Linked DNA regions of Lonchura striata. The protein of the gene in region 1 interacts with the protein of each later gene in a pairwise test. Links are inferred from orthologs where the notes say so. Each region holds a gene or a part of one and is shown in the gene's direction. Other genes may lie near its edges.

Region 1 (7,854 bases):
CAGATTAATAGCAGACAAAACTGCTGCAGGAACACCCAGTTGTGGTGGGACCACCACCTCTCAGGGACTGGGCTGTGTGCCTGGAGCCCAGGCTGGGCAGAGCCCACCCAGGCAGGACCAAGGATGCACCCCAGCATCCTCCTGAACATCCACATGCATTGGTATGGCCATAAAAATCCCAGTTCTTGCAATAATTATTTTACTACACCACCTCTGTGGCTCTCAGACTGCTGCTGCCTCATCCACAGTAAAAAAAGAGCACCAAGTGCAGCCCTTCCAAATATCCCTGCCCAGAGGGGGCTGAGGAGGGTTCCAGCACCAGGACAATCCTGTGACACCACACACAGCTCCTCCTGCACAAACCCCAGCCAGAAGCTGCCAGTCCTCCCTCCCTCCCAGCAGGGATGCAGCTCCTTTAAGCTCACTGGATAAACGCAGCATCTAAAGAACAAATCTTGGAACACCCAAGCAACTCAGAGATCAAAGAAAGCATCGTATTCCCAGTTTCTCTGCAATTCCTTCCTTTGAAGCAGGTGATGCTCCCATTTTGTTTGGCTCAGACACAAACTGCAGCAGCTGGGGGTGAACTCCCAGCGCTCCTTGGCCCCCAAAGTGGCTCAGAAGCAAAAAAGCACAACCCATGTGATCCCCCAGAGCAGAGTCTGCTGCACCCCCTGCACTTGGGGTGTGAAAAGCCACCAAGGGAAAATCAGAGCTGCAAGCCCCACACACAGAATCACAGAGCAGCTGGGGCTGATCTGGAGCTCACCCTCTTCAAGCCCTCTCAAGGCAGGGTCACTCAGAGCAGTGGCACAAGAACGTGTCCAGGTGGGTCTGGAATGTGCCCAGAGAGGGAGACCACCACACCCCCAGCTGCTCCAGTGGGAAGCTCTTCCTCATGCTGAGGTGGAACTTGCTGTATTTTAGTTTCTGGTCACTGCTCCTTGTCCTGCCACTGGGCAGCGCTGAAGGGAGTCTGGCAGCATCCTCTGGTACATGCCCTGGGCAAATCTGTGGGGATTTGTCTCCTCTCCTCCAGACTAACAAGGCCCAGCTCCCTCTGTCTCTCCTCACAGAGGTGCTCCAAACCCCTCAGCATTTTTGTGAGCTCTGCTGCTCCTCCACCACGAGTTTGCTGTTCACCTTAAACAAGGACCTGGTTGTATTCCTGTGGGAAATGGCTTTTTCCCCACCAGAGACCCCTGTAGCTGTAACCATGTTAGTTTAACCTTTCCTTCCTTTCTTGACCTAATTGGCTGAGAGCCAATTATATTTTCATGAGCAGGAGTCTAGACAAGGCTCTGTTCTCCCTTGTTCTCCCTTTTTCTCCCCTGGAAACTTTTGAGAATAAAAGTCTAGGACTACATTGGGGGTTAGAGCTTCTTTTGGAATCTTTTACCTTGCCCCTGAAATATTCCCCCAAAGCCTTCTCAGATCTGGGCTGTCTAGCAACTCCAGGGTGCTGTGGGGGTAAATATTTCAGGAGCCCTGTCCCAGGAGCACCTTCAGTGTCCCTGGGGAAGGCAGAGTGGGACACCCACCACTGGCCACAGGTGATGCCCAGGTGGGGCTCCAACATCTCCTCCACATCCCCATCCCATTCCTTGGGGAAGGCCAATCCCTGGGGTGGGACACAAACCCCGACCACATTTCCTTGCTCTGCTCACGATTTTACACCCAATCCCCACAGGTCTGGCACTGTCCTGGCTGCCCAGCCCCCTGTGCCCACCCCTGGCTGCCCAGCTGAAAGAGAGGAAAAATGTAACAGAGTAGAAATTAGAAATCCATTTAGATTTAAGTGAAATGTACCGCTTTGAGCTTGGTACTGAGTTGAGATGGTTTGAGTAAAATATGCTGTTTAGTCTAGTAACTGCAACACTAATAAAACTACCCCAGCTAAAGAAAAAAAAAAAGACAAATTTCCACACTAAAAAGATAAAAAATAAGAAAGACTCCTCAGACCTTTAAACAAGCAAAGTGACCCAAGAGTTCTTTCTATACTTTCTAACAAAAACTAAATACGAGTGTAACTAACTAGAAATGTAACACGAAATCAACAAAATGAATATGCATAAACCTATTTTTATATAAAATTCTATTACTATGCACAAACCTATTGTAAAATTCTATGAGTATAGAAATTAATAAGAGCAATAAAAATCAATGAAGTTATCAAAAGCGAGCCATTAAAGAACAACAAGTCCCCACGTGCGTCCAGCACTATAAATAAATATTGAAATGATGGAGTTTGAATTTTCCCCCACGTTTCCCAGCCCCAGCTGACCTTTGGGCCGGGGTCTGCCGGTCTCGGGGCGGCTGCGGCGCAGCGTGGCCGGGACGATTTCGGGGGGCAGGTGGAGGTAATCCCGCAGGTACTGGATGCCCTCGTTGGTCAGGTACCAGTAGAAGTGTCTCCAAGCAAACTGCTCCTTCACGTAGCCTCGGGACTTGAGGGACTGCGGGGAGAGCTCCCAGTTACTCCCAGTTCCTCCCAGTTCCAGCCTCTCCCAGCTCCTCAGCAGGGAAGGGGGACAGAAGGCAGTGAGACAGAGTGAAAATTGAATAAGGTAAAAATCTATTCAGATTTCAAGAAAATGTGCCACTTTGAGCTTGCTAAATATGCTAAATAAATTTAGTCTAGTAACTGCAGCCTAGCAAAACTACTAACACACTTTTGCACACTAAAAGATAAAAAAGACTCTTAAGATCTTAAAACAGACACGGCAGAGTGACCCAAAAGTTTTTGTTAGAAAGTATAGAAAAAACTAAGTACAAGTGTAACTAACTGTAAGTATAACGTGAAATCAGCAGAATGAATATGCATTAAGCTATTGTAAAATTCTATGCATAGAGAAATTAGTAAAGGAAATAAAAAAAGATCAACAAGAGTTGTCAGAGGTATGCATTATGTCCATTAAAGGGCAATGAGTCCCAACATGCTAAACATACCCATTCCCTACAAATCTTTATTAGAATGATGAAGTTTAATTTTTCATTCACATTACAATGGTGAAGTTTAATTTTGCAGCAGCAGCAGCAGAGCCCCCCACCTGCATGGCTTTCATCACGTGCAGGTTGGGCACGTTCTTGTCCACCAGCTCGGGGTGCTTGGCCATGTGCACATCCTTCTTGGCCACCATCACGCCCTCCTTGAACAGCAGCTCGTAGATGGCGATCCGGTTCTTCTTGGGCATCAACATCTGCAGGGGGCACAGCAAAACGGGCTCGGGGACCGGGAACCGTGCTGGGCCACCCCGGGACGCGCTTCCCGGGAGGGAAACCGGGAAATCCCAGCGTTTCCTCCGTAAATCATCCCGCGCACCCCCGCCCGCTGTCGGGCACACCGGGCAAGGTGGGGCAGGCTCGGGGAGAGCCCGGCTTGGCCCCGCCGTTAAGTGCAACTGAACCAGGGAACCGGGAGCCGGAACCGACACCGGCAGCGCCCCCAGCACGGGAAATCAGCTACGGGCGGTGCTCCCGGACCCACCGGGCCGGGGCTGTCCGTGCTCGGGCACGACCGAACCCCCGCGGCAGCGGCCGGGGTGGGACGCCCCGGTGCCAGCGCCGGACACCCAACCCCACCCCGCGGCCCGGCGCCGCCGGTCCCTTTCTCCCCGCACAGCCGGGGCGTGGAGCCCCGATGGGGGAAGTGCGGCGGGGGGCCCCCAGACCCCGGGATGGCGGCGATGCGCGGCCGATGGCCCGAGCGCGGCCTCACCGTGGCGGCGGCGGCGGCGGGGCCCGGCCGGAAAGGACTGCGCGTGCGCCGGCCCGCCGCTTCCGCCGCGCCAAGGACCCCCTCGGCGGCGGGAGGGGGCGCCCGCCGTGCTGCCTGCGCGGAGAGCAGGCCCCCTCCTGCCCGGGGAACGGGCTGCCCGCCGCGGTGCCTGAGGGGCACGGCGGGTGACCTCCGCCCCCGCGTCCCCACTCGTGTCACGCCTCCCACACGTCCCCACCCGTGCCATCCCCAGCCGTGTCACCCCCCACGTTCCGGCTGTGTCACTCGGGGCTGTGTCATCCCCCACGTCCCCATCCGTGCCATCCCCGGCCGTGCCACCCAAAGCTGTATCACCCCTGGCCGTGCCACCCCAGGCCGTGCCATCCCCCACGTCCCCGGCTGTGTCACCCCCGGCTGTGTCACCCCCCCACCCCCGTCCCCAGCCGTGTCACCCCCACCCGTGCCATCCCCACCCGTGTCACCCCCGACAATGTCACCCCCACCCGTGGCATCCCCACCCGTGTCACCTCCGGCCGTGCCATCCCCAGCCATGCCACCCAAAGCTGTGCCACCCCTGGCCGTGTCACCTCCGGCCGTGCCATCCCCAGCCATGCCACCCAAAGCTGTGTCACCCCTGGCCGTGTCACCTCCGGCCGTGCCATCCCCACCCGTGGCATCCCCACCCGTGCCACCACCACCCGTGTCGGCCCCGGCCGTGCCACCCGCAGTCCCCGCGGTGCCCGCTGTCCCCCGCCGTGAAGCGCTGCCCGGGACCCCGGAGAGCCGCGGGTCGCAGCCCGGCCCGAGGGCTCGGGGCTCCCGCAGGCACCGGGGCGCTCTGCTCCGCACACACCGGCCCGGGAGCCGCGATTCCCCCGACCCCGTCCGGGGCTGTGACCGGAGCCGTGTCCCCTGGGGCGCACCCCGTGTCCCCCCGGTGTCCCTCCCGTGTCCCGCTCCGTGTGGGGTCCGGGGGGAGCGGACACCTGAACACCGCGGGCACTCGGAGCACCGGAGCGGAGCCCGGGGACCGCGGGAGGGACCGCGGCGCCCCGGGGTTTATCGCCATCCCCTCGGCGGGCGCGTTGTCACCTTGCGCGGCCGAGGAGCCGCCGCGCCGGGGATTGGTCGGCTAAAAATGCCGCCCTAATCTCCGAGCTGATCTTTACCCCCTCCCTCCGCCCCATCTGCCGCGACCTGCCCGCGATGCGCAGCGCCGGCCCCGGGAGAGGCTCCGCCGCTGTCCCCGCGGCCCCGAGGTACGGCCGGCGGGGCGGGCGGGGGGCGCACGGCTGGCCCGGGGGGCACAGGGGGATGCCGGGGACCGGGGCGCTGTGACAGCGCTGTCCCCGCCGGTGTTTGAACCGGCTCCGCGCCCTGCTTTGGGAAACCAACCCGCGCCCGACCCGTTCTAAGTGATTCCCGACCCGTGCCGGACCGTGCCGGGCGGGGAACGGGAGGGATCGAGGGATGCGCCGCGCTCCTGGAGGTGCCCGGTGCCGTCCTGGGGCTTTGCTGGGTGTCACCCCCTCGTTTCTTCCTTTGGGACGGAGGTGTCCCACAGGGTGACCCGCAGGATGCTGCGACAATCGCGGCATCAGCCGGCCCGGCCCGCGGAGCAGGAGCTGTCCCCGCCGGCCGGACACGCTGTCGCTGTCGCTGCTGCAGCAGATCACAGCTCCTGCACCTCCTGCCTTGGAAATGGCAAAGCAAGTGCTTCGCTAAACGGATTAGAGCTCTCCCGGCAGCCTCCCCGGCTGCTCCCGCATCCCTCGGCCCCCGCGTCGCCTTCCCCGGGCAAACCCCAGCCCTAATAAGCCAAAAGGCCGCGGCCGCAGCACGGCAGAGATCAGCCGCTGCGGCTGCCAGCGCGCCTGACCCCGAAAATGAAGCCCTGAGAGTCCTGCCACCTCCTGGGGTTTTGTGTTCCCTTTGCAGGAGCACAGAGAAAATCGGGGAATTCAGCAGGCAGCGGCTCGGCCGGTGCTGGAGGTGCTGCCTGCCCCGGGGTCGCCCCTGGCCGCTTCCTCTCCCTCCTCTCCCGGGGTGTGCGGCCGCCGGAGGGGCTGCGGCAGGACGGGAGCGGGATTGAACCGAGAAAGGATTGAGGGAAGAGAGCCCAGGCACAGGCAGGGACCGACAGTGACGCGCACAGGGCAGGGCCACGAGGGAAGGGACATCAGCACAGCGTGGCAGCACCGAGCGGGGCTGTCCCGAGCCCAGAGCCTGGGCTGGGCTCTGGGTGGGATGCCCCTCGCTGGGAATGGCCTGTCCCCAGCTCTGCCGGTCCCTGCCAGGGCACGGCGATGGCACAGGGATAGAGCCAGGCTGCACCAGCACAGCGCGTGGCACGGGGACAGACTTTGTCCCGGGGATGCCAGCCTGGCCGGCGTTTGTGCAACACCTTGAAGGCAAACTCCGGACCTGCTGAGCTCCTGCGGATGGTGCTGGAGGAGGAGAGGCCGCCTCCAAGCCGGCAGCTTGCAGGGGCTGTGTCCCGCACAGCCGGCGGGGCCGGAGGCAGCGAGCCCCAGCACGGCTGTGGCCGTGGGTGGAATGTGCGGGCTCCTCGGGCAGCTGCCCGCAGCCAGCCCCGAGCTGCTTCCCTGGGAAAAATGGAGCCTTTATGTCCCGGCCCCAGCCCCTTCCCCGGAAGGGCTCGGAGGATGCCCCGGCCGGTCACAGGCAGACAAGAAGGGAATTGTTTCGGTGGGATTTGGGTTTCTGGGAGCACCTGCCCCGCGCGGGGCCCTCCACAATGGCTGCCTGTCTGCCGCAGAGCCGCCAATTATCCTCCGCGGCTAATTAGAGATGCAAAGTAGCGCTTGTATTCTCCCAGCTCCCCGGAGGGCTCCTGGGACCGGCGGCACATCCGCAGCGGCGACGCAGCCCGGGCATGGGGCGAGCGTGGGGCGCTGGCCCCATCCGGCCCCCCGAGCCCCAGCTGCCCTGGGAGGAGGCAGCGGAGGACAGGAATGGGCTCGGGATCCTGGGATTCCCTCTGCCCCCATCCACACCAGTCTTCCCTGGACCGCCCATGGGCTCTCCCGTGTCTCCCAGAAGCAGCTGAGCCCCATAGCTCGGGGCTCTGCCGGGATTTAGGGAACACATTTCCCTTCCTTGCTGGGGAGCTGGCTGCGCTCAAACCCCCCCCGGTTCGTGCGAGGGCCGGCACTCCTGCCTGGCTGATGGGCAGGCGGCTGATTCCTGGTGGCATCTCCTCATTCCTGCCTGCTCTGGCTCCAGCAGCCGCCGGGATCACCGTGTGGGCTCCTGTGCTCCGTTTGTGCTCACGGAGCTGTAATTCCAGAGCGGCAAGTGGCCCCATAAATCAGGGCTTATTTCCTGCCAATACCGTCTGCTGCTTCCCACAAGGAAACTCATTTACAGGAGGAGAAGTGACTTACCACTGAAAACAGTAAACGGTGGGATGGTGAGAGCCGGGGAAAAGTTTGTCGTGACCGAGTTTTTGGTGAAGGAACTGAGGAGGCAGAGCTCCCACCTGCTCCCTGCATGGAGCAGCCCAAGCTGCAGGGAAGGAGACCTGAGCTGGTGCCACCTGCGCAGACCACAAAGCTGGTGGCGATGGCTCTTTGCACTGGGGAACCCCCCGAGTCATTGAGGTCCCCCCATCACCATCCTGGAGAGCGTTTGTCACCTGATGTTTAATGCCAAGGATCCCTCTGCAGCAGGGATGCTGATGGTGCCTGGGACATCCCAGTGCTGAGAACTGCCAACTCACTGCTTGGAAGGACCATGACCAGATATTCAGCACCCTCTGAAACGCCAACAGGCAAAGATCCCCCGCTCCTAAAGGAACCAGCGTCCATCCCACTCCTCTTTGGGACTGGGGACATTAAATCTCCGAGGTGTCACCCCAGCTGCAGCAGGGCGTGAAACCTTCCGGGGGCTGTTCTGGCTGGCCCTGATGGGGGCTGGCTCGGGTGGCACGGAGCTGCGAGGAGCCGGGAGGCAGGCGGGCTGCAGAGCCCCACCGAGCTTCATTAGGCAGTCGAAGGAGCTTGTTAGGGGAAAGCTGAGCCGGCGTCGGAGGCCGGCAGAGCCCCCCGGGACCGGGTCGCATTCTCTGGGCAACCCGATCCCGGCGGCAGCGGCCCCGGCAGCCTCATTACTGC
Region 2 (7,127 bases), on another chromosome or scaffold:
GCCTGGCAGAGATGTCAGTGCAGATAGGGCCTCCCAGAGGCTTATGCTGGCCAGGAAAATGCTGGCTGGGAAAAAGATGTGGGATGTGCCCAAATAAGAAGAGTCTGGAAGGAGTTTGTGATGGTCTGTTATTTCACTATTAGCTAGGAGATGTGAAATTTCCTTTTCCAGATGAGCACATTTCGTGTTTTGCATAAGAGAGCAATTGCTTCTTGTAAGACTTAGCATTTCTGCTAATTTAATGAGCTATCCATACAAATGGACTGCATTAGTCATTGGACAGACCTTTTTCAAGTTCCACAAGCATGTTTTAGACCTCTTGATAAAGCCAGTAGCATGCTGGACTTCCACAAGCAGAAAGACCTCCCAAAGTATGCAAGTTATTCCTGGCATGTTGTATTCTCAACTTGTCAAGGAAACATGGATTATTTTTTACACAAACAGGCAAATCAAAATGGTTCCTTAGCAAGCTCCCATAAACATTCTTGGACCCTGAGAAGGAAAAGAATAAAGAAAAGTAAGGAAAAGAATTGCTTCTGAATTAGGTTTCTTAGATGGACGTGTTGTCACACATTCAGAAGTCCATTTGCACCAATTTGGACCTATGATGAATGGTGGAGGGAGTGAAGGATAAAATAGAAAGAACAAACAAGGGCATTAATTAATCTGGATATTCTATACTTGAGTGGATTATTTTTTCTTTTTTGCCCATACTGTGAATTTATCTTCAAATGTAGACTGAGATGAACCGCAAACACTTTTGGAAGTTCTTTTAATAGCTGTTGATTGAAAGGTGATGTGAAGGTGCTGAGAGGGAAAGGATCTCTGGAGCTGAGTGGGCCAGTGTGGAAAGGACAGGCCAACATCTTGCTGGAAACCACAAAGCAGCACAGCAGCAAAACCCCTGGAGTGCCCTCAGCTCCCCTGACACTTTAGCACACAAATTTGGCCTTAGATCTCACAAACACTGGAGCTTTTTTGAAACTGCTTGTGAAGGATTACAAATGCTGAGTGCAGTTTCTAGACAAAGACAGTAAGATATCACAGCTCTGGCCCTAGCTCGGTGTTTTATGTCTGAGCTTGTGTTACCGTGTAGGGTCCCTATGCATTAAAATGCCTCAGCCAAAACCCAGTTCTGACACTCACCAAATAATCCTGTGATTTACCACAATCCTGTGATTATGGTAAGACAATAAAAAGTACTGCCTGGCCTCAGCATTTTTCCCATTTCAGTGTAAAGAACTGTTTTTCCACACAGTGAAGGGATTTTTAACAGAAAAGAGGTGTAAAGCATGCATAAACAGTGACACTTAATGTGCATCCTCATCCATAGCTCCTTCTGTGGGTCGTGTGGTTCCATGCCATCCTGGTTCCATGCTCATGCTCAAATTCAGGAACAGCTCCTGCTGCTTGGGCTTGGTGCAGACTCAGCCAGCAGCCTTGAGCTTCATTTTGGCCCAGCCACTGCCATTAATGCAATGGTACCAATAACTATCAATAATGATACCTTCACTCGGTGGGAGGGTGCTTTTATTACAAGTACTTCATCCCAGGAGAAACAGAAAAGGGGAAGAGGGGACTTTTGTGCAGCCAAAACCTGCAGCAAGTGGGTGCTGCTGGGTTTGGTGCTGCAGGGCTGGGGCCTGGCTATGAGCATCCCTGGGGTCCCTTCCAGCCCAGCTCATCCTGGGAGCTGGACATGAGCATCCCTGGGGTCCCTTCCAGCCCAGCTCATCCTGGGAGCTGTCAGTGGCTCCTCACCACAGGGACACAGCTGCTGTGTGAGGTGCATTGTGGCTGCAGGAAATCAAAGTTCACACTGCCTCCTTCTCTGTTTTCCTTCTATTTTTCTAACCTTACACCTCAAATTTGCCCTCTCTCCTCTGACAGGCCTCAACAAGAAGCTTTGAATGTGGTGACAGCAGTGAGAGAAAATAAGACAAGTACCTCCAAGATGTAAAAAATACTACTGTTACTTCCTATTGTTCATCTGAATCTCCACTCCTGAGAACGTGAGTTAAATCCTAAATTTTCCTTTCTTTTTAGGCAGAATATCCAGCAAGTTATAAAAACAGCATCACAAGGAGGTCCTAAGATGGGGCTTGCTCCAGTTTTCCTGCTGAGCATGTGTTTAGGAATTGCTGCTAAAAAAAAGTCAGAGAGGATGGTAGTTCTGTGCTGTCACATGGCCTGATACAGCACAGAATCTGCTTAGCATTCCTGAAGGGAAATTACCCAGTGCTGCAACTCACAATTTATAATTGGTTGCATATTAATAGCTAAAAAAGGCAATAAAATCCGCTGTGCGTTTAAAAAAAAAAAAATTGTAAGCAGGAGTATTACAAGCTGAGCAGTGAAAATCTGGAAGACTTCTTGGCTGGAGCAGGGCTGTGTGCAGCGTTGTTTCTCCTGTATTAATTACAAGCAATTTTAAATCATCTCCTTCCTTCAAGGAAGGATTTTGTTAATTTTAATCTTGCTGGCGTGATACTCTCTTGCAACCTCTCCCTTGTGTCATAATAGTGAGACATGCTGCCTCTTTTGTCCCTGCCCTTTGGGAAACACAGTTACTGCTGCTCATTGCCTAACCCTGCTGTTGTGACCATCAGTACACCTCCCTTGAAAGGAAAAGAAACTAAAACTCAGCAGCAGGATTGTTCTTCCCTGCTCCGAGTTCACTTTTATTTGTTGTATTTAAGATAGATTGTGTGAGTGCCTCAAGAAAATTGGGGGTTTAAAATGTATGGTGCTGTATTAGAGTAGAAAGCTTGTTATTCAGCACACTACTTATTTCTGAGTCACTGTATTTATAAAATGTCATGTAATAACTACTTCACCACCATGAAAAATAAATAGTGCAAAAGCAGGCACTTTATGATTTTGACATTTTGGTGTATAAACATATTCCCGAGTCTCTCTGGGGGCTACTGGGAATCTGATCATGTTTTTATGACATCTAAAAAAAATGACATTGCATTTCCTAATCTGTAACACTCCATATGCATCGTTAGTGCTGAGCATTTTATTACAGCCTCAGTGGCTTATACTGCAAGTGTCAGCTGCAAAGAGAAAACCCACAAAGCTGGGGCTGTGGAACTGGGGGGGCACGAGAGGGTAAAGCCTTGCAGTGCACACCTCAAAGCCTGTGGGCCACCTGCAATGGCAGATCCCAGGCAGATCTGCTGGGACACCAGAATTCCCCTGCAGCTTTTCTCATTTCAGGATGGATTGCAAAGCCCTTGCTGAAGGAGGGCCTCCTGCTCAGACTTATCTCTAGAGGGTAAGTGAGGCTGGGGTTCTGTGTGAATGACCTGTTAACTCCAGAGTAACTGGGACACCTCGAGTGACACTCTGGGAGGGAGTGCAGAGGGGAAGGAGGATGGGCTGCTGCCCCAGGTTCTGAGTGGTCCTGCATGGTCCCTGAGAGCAATGGTGGATGCTTAGCAGAATGTGCGACTTCAGAAAATGCTGTGCCTGAACCCAGGCCTTCTGTGCTCCTCTGCAAAGCCTGCTTGGTGTTACTTAAGTTGTGAGTCATTTACTCAAATGCTGGGAGAAGTGTCTTTTGAAATAAGTTATCCAGCACTTTTTGGGAAAGGAGCAAGGGGTGAGGAAGCAGTCACAGCTTCAGAAAAACTCAAATTTGTCACGAAAATGACAGTGAGAAATGAAAATGGGAGGAAGCCATTGCTGCTGGTGGGTGATGGTGTCAGTCCTCCCCTTTCTGACACAGTGCAGGACAGCAGCCTCTTGCCAGAGCTGCTCCACGTGTACGTGAGTACAGAACTGGCCCCTGACCTGTGGGGATTCCTCTGGAATCCTCTGATTCCTTCCCCCTCAGGGAAATCCCAGGGCCCTCCCTTGGACACTTAACCACAGAGTTCTGCCCACCTGGGCTGATAGAAAGCTCTTCCTCATGGGCTTTTGCTTAACACTGATCATCCCAGTTCCTTTCCCCATATGTCCCACCTACCCTGGTTTCCCTTTCCCTGTTTCCTCCTGGCTTGTGGTACCCCTTCCTCCCTGAAAGCCGACACCCTCTGCCCTGCCCTTGGTACCGCCCCCATCTCTTCCCCTACTTAAACCTCGTGCGGAGCACCTGATTTCTCTTTTGTCTCTGGTTCCCTTTTGGGGTGCTGAAGTAAACCTCGCTGAACTGGCCATACAAGAGGCCCATCTGCCTCTCTTCGCTGAGCTAGCCAGGGTAAGTGTGCTGTGTGTGGACTTGACTGCCTTCCTGGGTGCTTCCCCGAGTGGCTTTTCCTCAGGAGATGCTCATTGGGAAATGGGTAGCAGCAGCCACCACCTAAACCCCCATGCTGCTGTGGCTTCCTCTGAATTTACAGCAGCTGGCAGGCTGAGGTGACACATCCTCTCCTCAGTGCTTTCTTCACCTGTTGGCATTAAAAAATTACAAGGAGCGTGGAGTGTGATCTACCATACATTTTGCTGGAAGTGGTGAAATTATTTATCCTTTTCACATTGGGATAGACTGGTTATCCTTAGAACAATCAGCCCCCTGAGCTGGTAGGCAGGGAGCAGAAAAGACCCCCTGTGATGTAGCAGAAGGTAGGTGGTGACCTGCTGTGCCACTTAGATGCTCACAAGTGTGTTGGGCAGAATGGGATTTCCCTGAAGCACCGAGGGAGCTGCTGGGAGGGCTCACCAAGGCACTCCCCATCCATCATTCCCCACCAGCCCTGGCTGTCCCTGAGGTCCCGGGTGACTGGAGGTTGCTCAGATCTTGGGTGTGAGCACAGGGCACTCACAGCACAGGCAGGGCATCAAGGACAGCCAGGATGGGCTTAGGAAAGGCAGCTCCTGTCTGACCAGCCTGATCTCCTTTCATGACCAGCAGTAAGTGCCTTGTTGAACACGGTAACCAATGAGTGGACATGGCACTCAGTGCTGTGGTCTGGTTGACAAAGGTTGAACTTGATGATCTTGGAGGTCTTTTCCAACCTCAATGATTCTACGAGGCTATGATGTTATGTTGTATTTATTTTCTGACTTTTCTATAAATACAAGTAGCTATTAAGAATGTCTCTGACTATTATATCCAAGGATAAGTGTTTGAGATACATGAGAGATACTCAGGGAATTGGTAAATCCTCAGTAAAAAAAAATGTCCTGAGATCAATTTCCTGATTCAGGAGTGAAGTCGTCATAGCATATAAAATGTAATGTGATTGTCCATAGCCCTAATAAAATCTTGAATTTTCCACCAAGCCTTTCATCTATAAAAATCAAATTTATCTGGCATTTGTCTGCATTTTGAAAGGGATAGGGATTTTTTGAAATGGATATGATAGTAATCCTTTATGGTACGTTAATATAGCAGAACAATAATTTGTTGCGTTTTCTTCACACAGAAACAATCAGCTTGGAAATGTGCATAATAATTGTCTTTGTCCTTCATTGTCACAGGCTATTAGCTAATGAATTTAAGCTGTACTTGGCTCTTGCTCCAATAAGAAAACTACATTAGAGATCTTGTAGCCTTGGTATTATATAAAACCTTTCAGTGGGTTTTATTTTAGTCTCGCTGAGGTGATGTTGCCGTGGGCTGAGGAATGCATCTCAATTTTGTGGTGAGCAGTGAGGTCAGCATGGATTGATGTAGTGGGTCAAGCAAGCTGAAGGACATCTATAGCTACTGAAGCTGCCAGGTGCCAGACCCTCTTTTTTTGGTTCCTTATACTTTAGCCAAACTTTTCATGCCTGCTTCTGTGACAGTTTCTGGTTCATCTTTTGGCTGGGAGGATTTGCTCAACTCATTCCAGTATTACCAAGATTCATAATAGGAAAAATAAGTAGTTTGGGCAATGCTTTAAATAAACAACAGGCTCACGTTGAGTTGCTCAGTTTTACTGCCTATACAGTTTGCCCACTCAACAAAGAGGCTGGCAAAAGAAAATCCTGTGATGGAAGAAGTGCCTGAGCAAACAGGAGCTGTTGCTGCTGCCCTGGACACAGGGACCTGTGTGGGCATTGCTCTTTGGGATGCCAGCTGCTGCAGCCTCCAAGAGGCACTCCCTGTGCCCAGCCACGCTGGGACACACCAGGCCCCCCGTGACTCTGCCCTTGTCCCCAGCTGTGTCACACTGGGGAGTGACACCCCATTCCTGCTGCTTGCAGGAAAGAAACAACCCATGAGTTCAGTTGGGTTGCTGCCACCTTTGGGCTGCCAGAATGGTGTGCAGAACAGCAGGAGCATAAGGCAAAATCCATACCACTGTCATTTGTGTTTGGCATCTTATGAGAAAAAAGGACCTGAAACTTCTGGGCATTACTTTGTATCTGAGCTTTTAGCTCATGGATGTCTTGGAAGGACAATGGATGGTCAGTGTGGGATAAATGTCTGCTGCAGGCAATCTCAGTAGAACATTGTTCCTCAACATCATTCTGTGCCTGTTCAGGGATTATTGCTTCTGCACAAGCCGTGACCCACAGCAGTCAAGAGCTGGCTGCGGAAAACATGGTCAAGTTTTGCTGTGTCCTGCAGACAGAGATGACCCCAGGCAGCTGGCAGTGCAGGGTGCAGCACCTGCAAAGTCCTGTGAGAAATGGGTTGGGATTGCCACTCCTGTTAACAGGCACCATTTGCTTCCTTCCCTCTTTTCATCTCCAAACCCGGACTCTGAGCTTTCCATGGCCTGCAGCCCCACATTTGGCTGTCCCATGTGCCTCCTCATGTTTTGATGGATAGTGCAGGAGATGTTCTGAGTGCTATGCCCCAAGGCAGGGTGCACAATGAGCATTGCTGGTGGCAGAAGCAGTGGCTGGAAAGCTTTGATGCTCCGAGGTGTGCAGGGGGCAGGTGCCAGGTAGCAGCAATCACCCGTTTTCCTAAACCAGCAGCACTTAGAGCCCTTCTGACAGAGGTTGACTCACCAGAAGTAAATTCAATATGCATGAAAGGACTCTTGTTCTTCCTCAGTGGAGAGCATAAAGACATACTGTCAGACAAATTAATCTCTCTCTGATAATTTTCTTTTCAACATCATTGAACTGTCATTTCTCCTGGGCTTTGCCAGAATGTTTGATATATCCGTTGTTTTCCAAAAACAGACAGATTCTGCTAGCTTGGCTGATACAGGAATTCCTGCCAGGAAAAGAGATGCTGA

Evidence for each region. The genes of interacting proteins can lie anywhere in the genome.
Region 2: the proteins of PACSIN1 (region 1) and EHBP1 interact in a two-hybrid assay, tested with the Homo sapiens proteins (2 studies listed by BioGRID and IntAct). The link is inferred for Lonchura striata from reciprocal best matches to the Homo sapiens genes PACSIN1 and EHBP1.

The regions. Positions count from the first base shown.
Region 1 is NC_134632.1:4,264,140-4,271,993, forward strand, and holds the start of PACSIN1 (protein kinase C and casein kinase substrate in neurons protein 1), read left to right. Parts: upstream 1-4,825; 5' UTR 4,826-4,977; intron 4,978-7,854. Other genes in the region: RPS10 (small ribosomal subunit protein eS10), read right to left, coding at 2,285-2,456, 3,051-3,200. UniProt on the Homo sapiens protein: Plays a role in the reorganization of the microtubule cytoskeleton via its interaction with MAPT; this decreases microtubule stability and inhibits MAPT-induced microtubule polymerization.
Region 2 is NC_134605.1:652,985-660,111, forward strand, and holds the start of EHBP1 (EH domain-binding protein 1), read left to right. Parts: upstream 1-4,125; 5' UTR 4,126-4,204; intron 4,205-7,127. UniProt on the Homo sapiens protein: May play a role in actin reorganization. Links clathrin-mediated endocytosis to the actin cytoskeleton. May act as Rab effector protein and play a role in vesicle trafficking.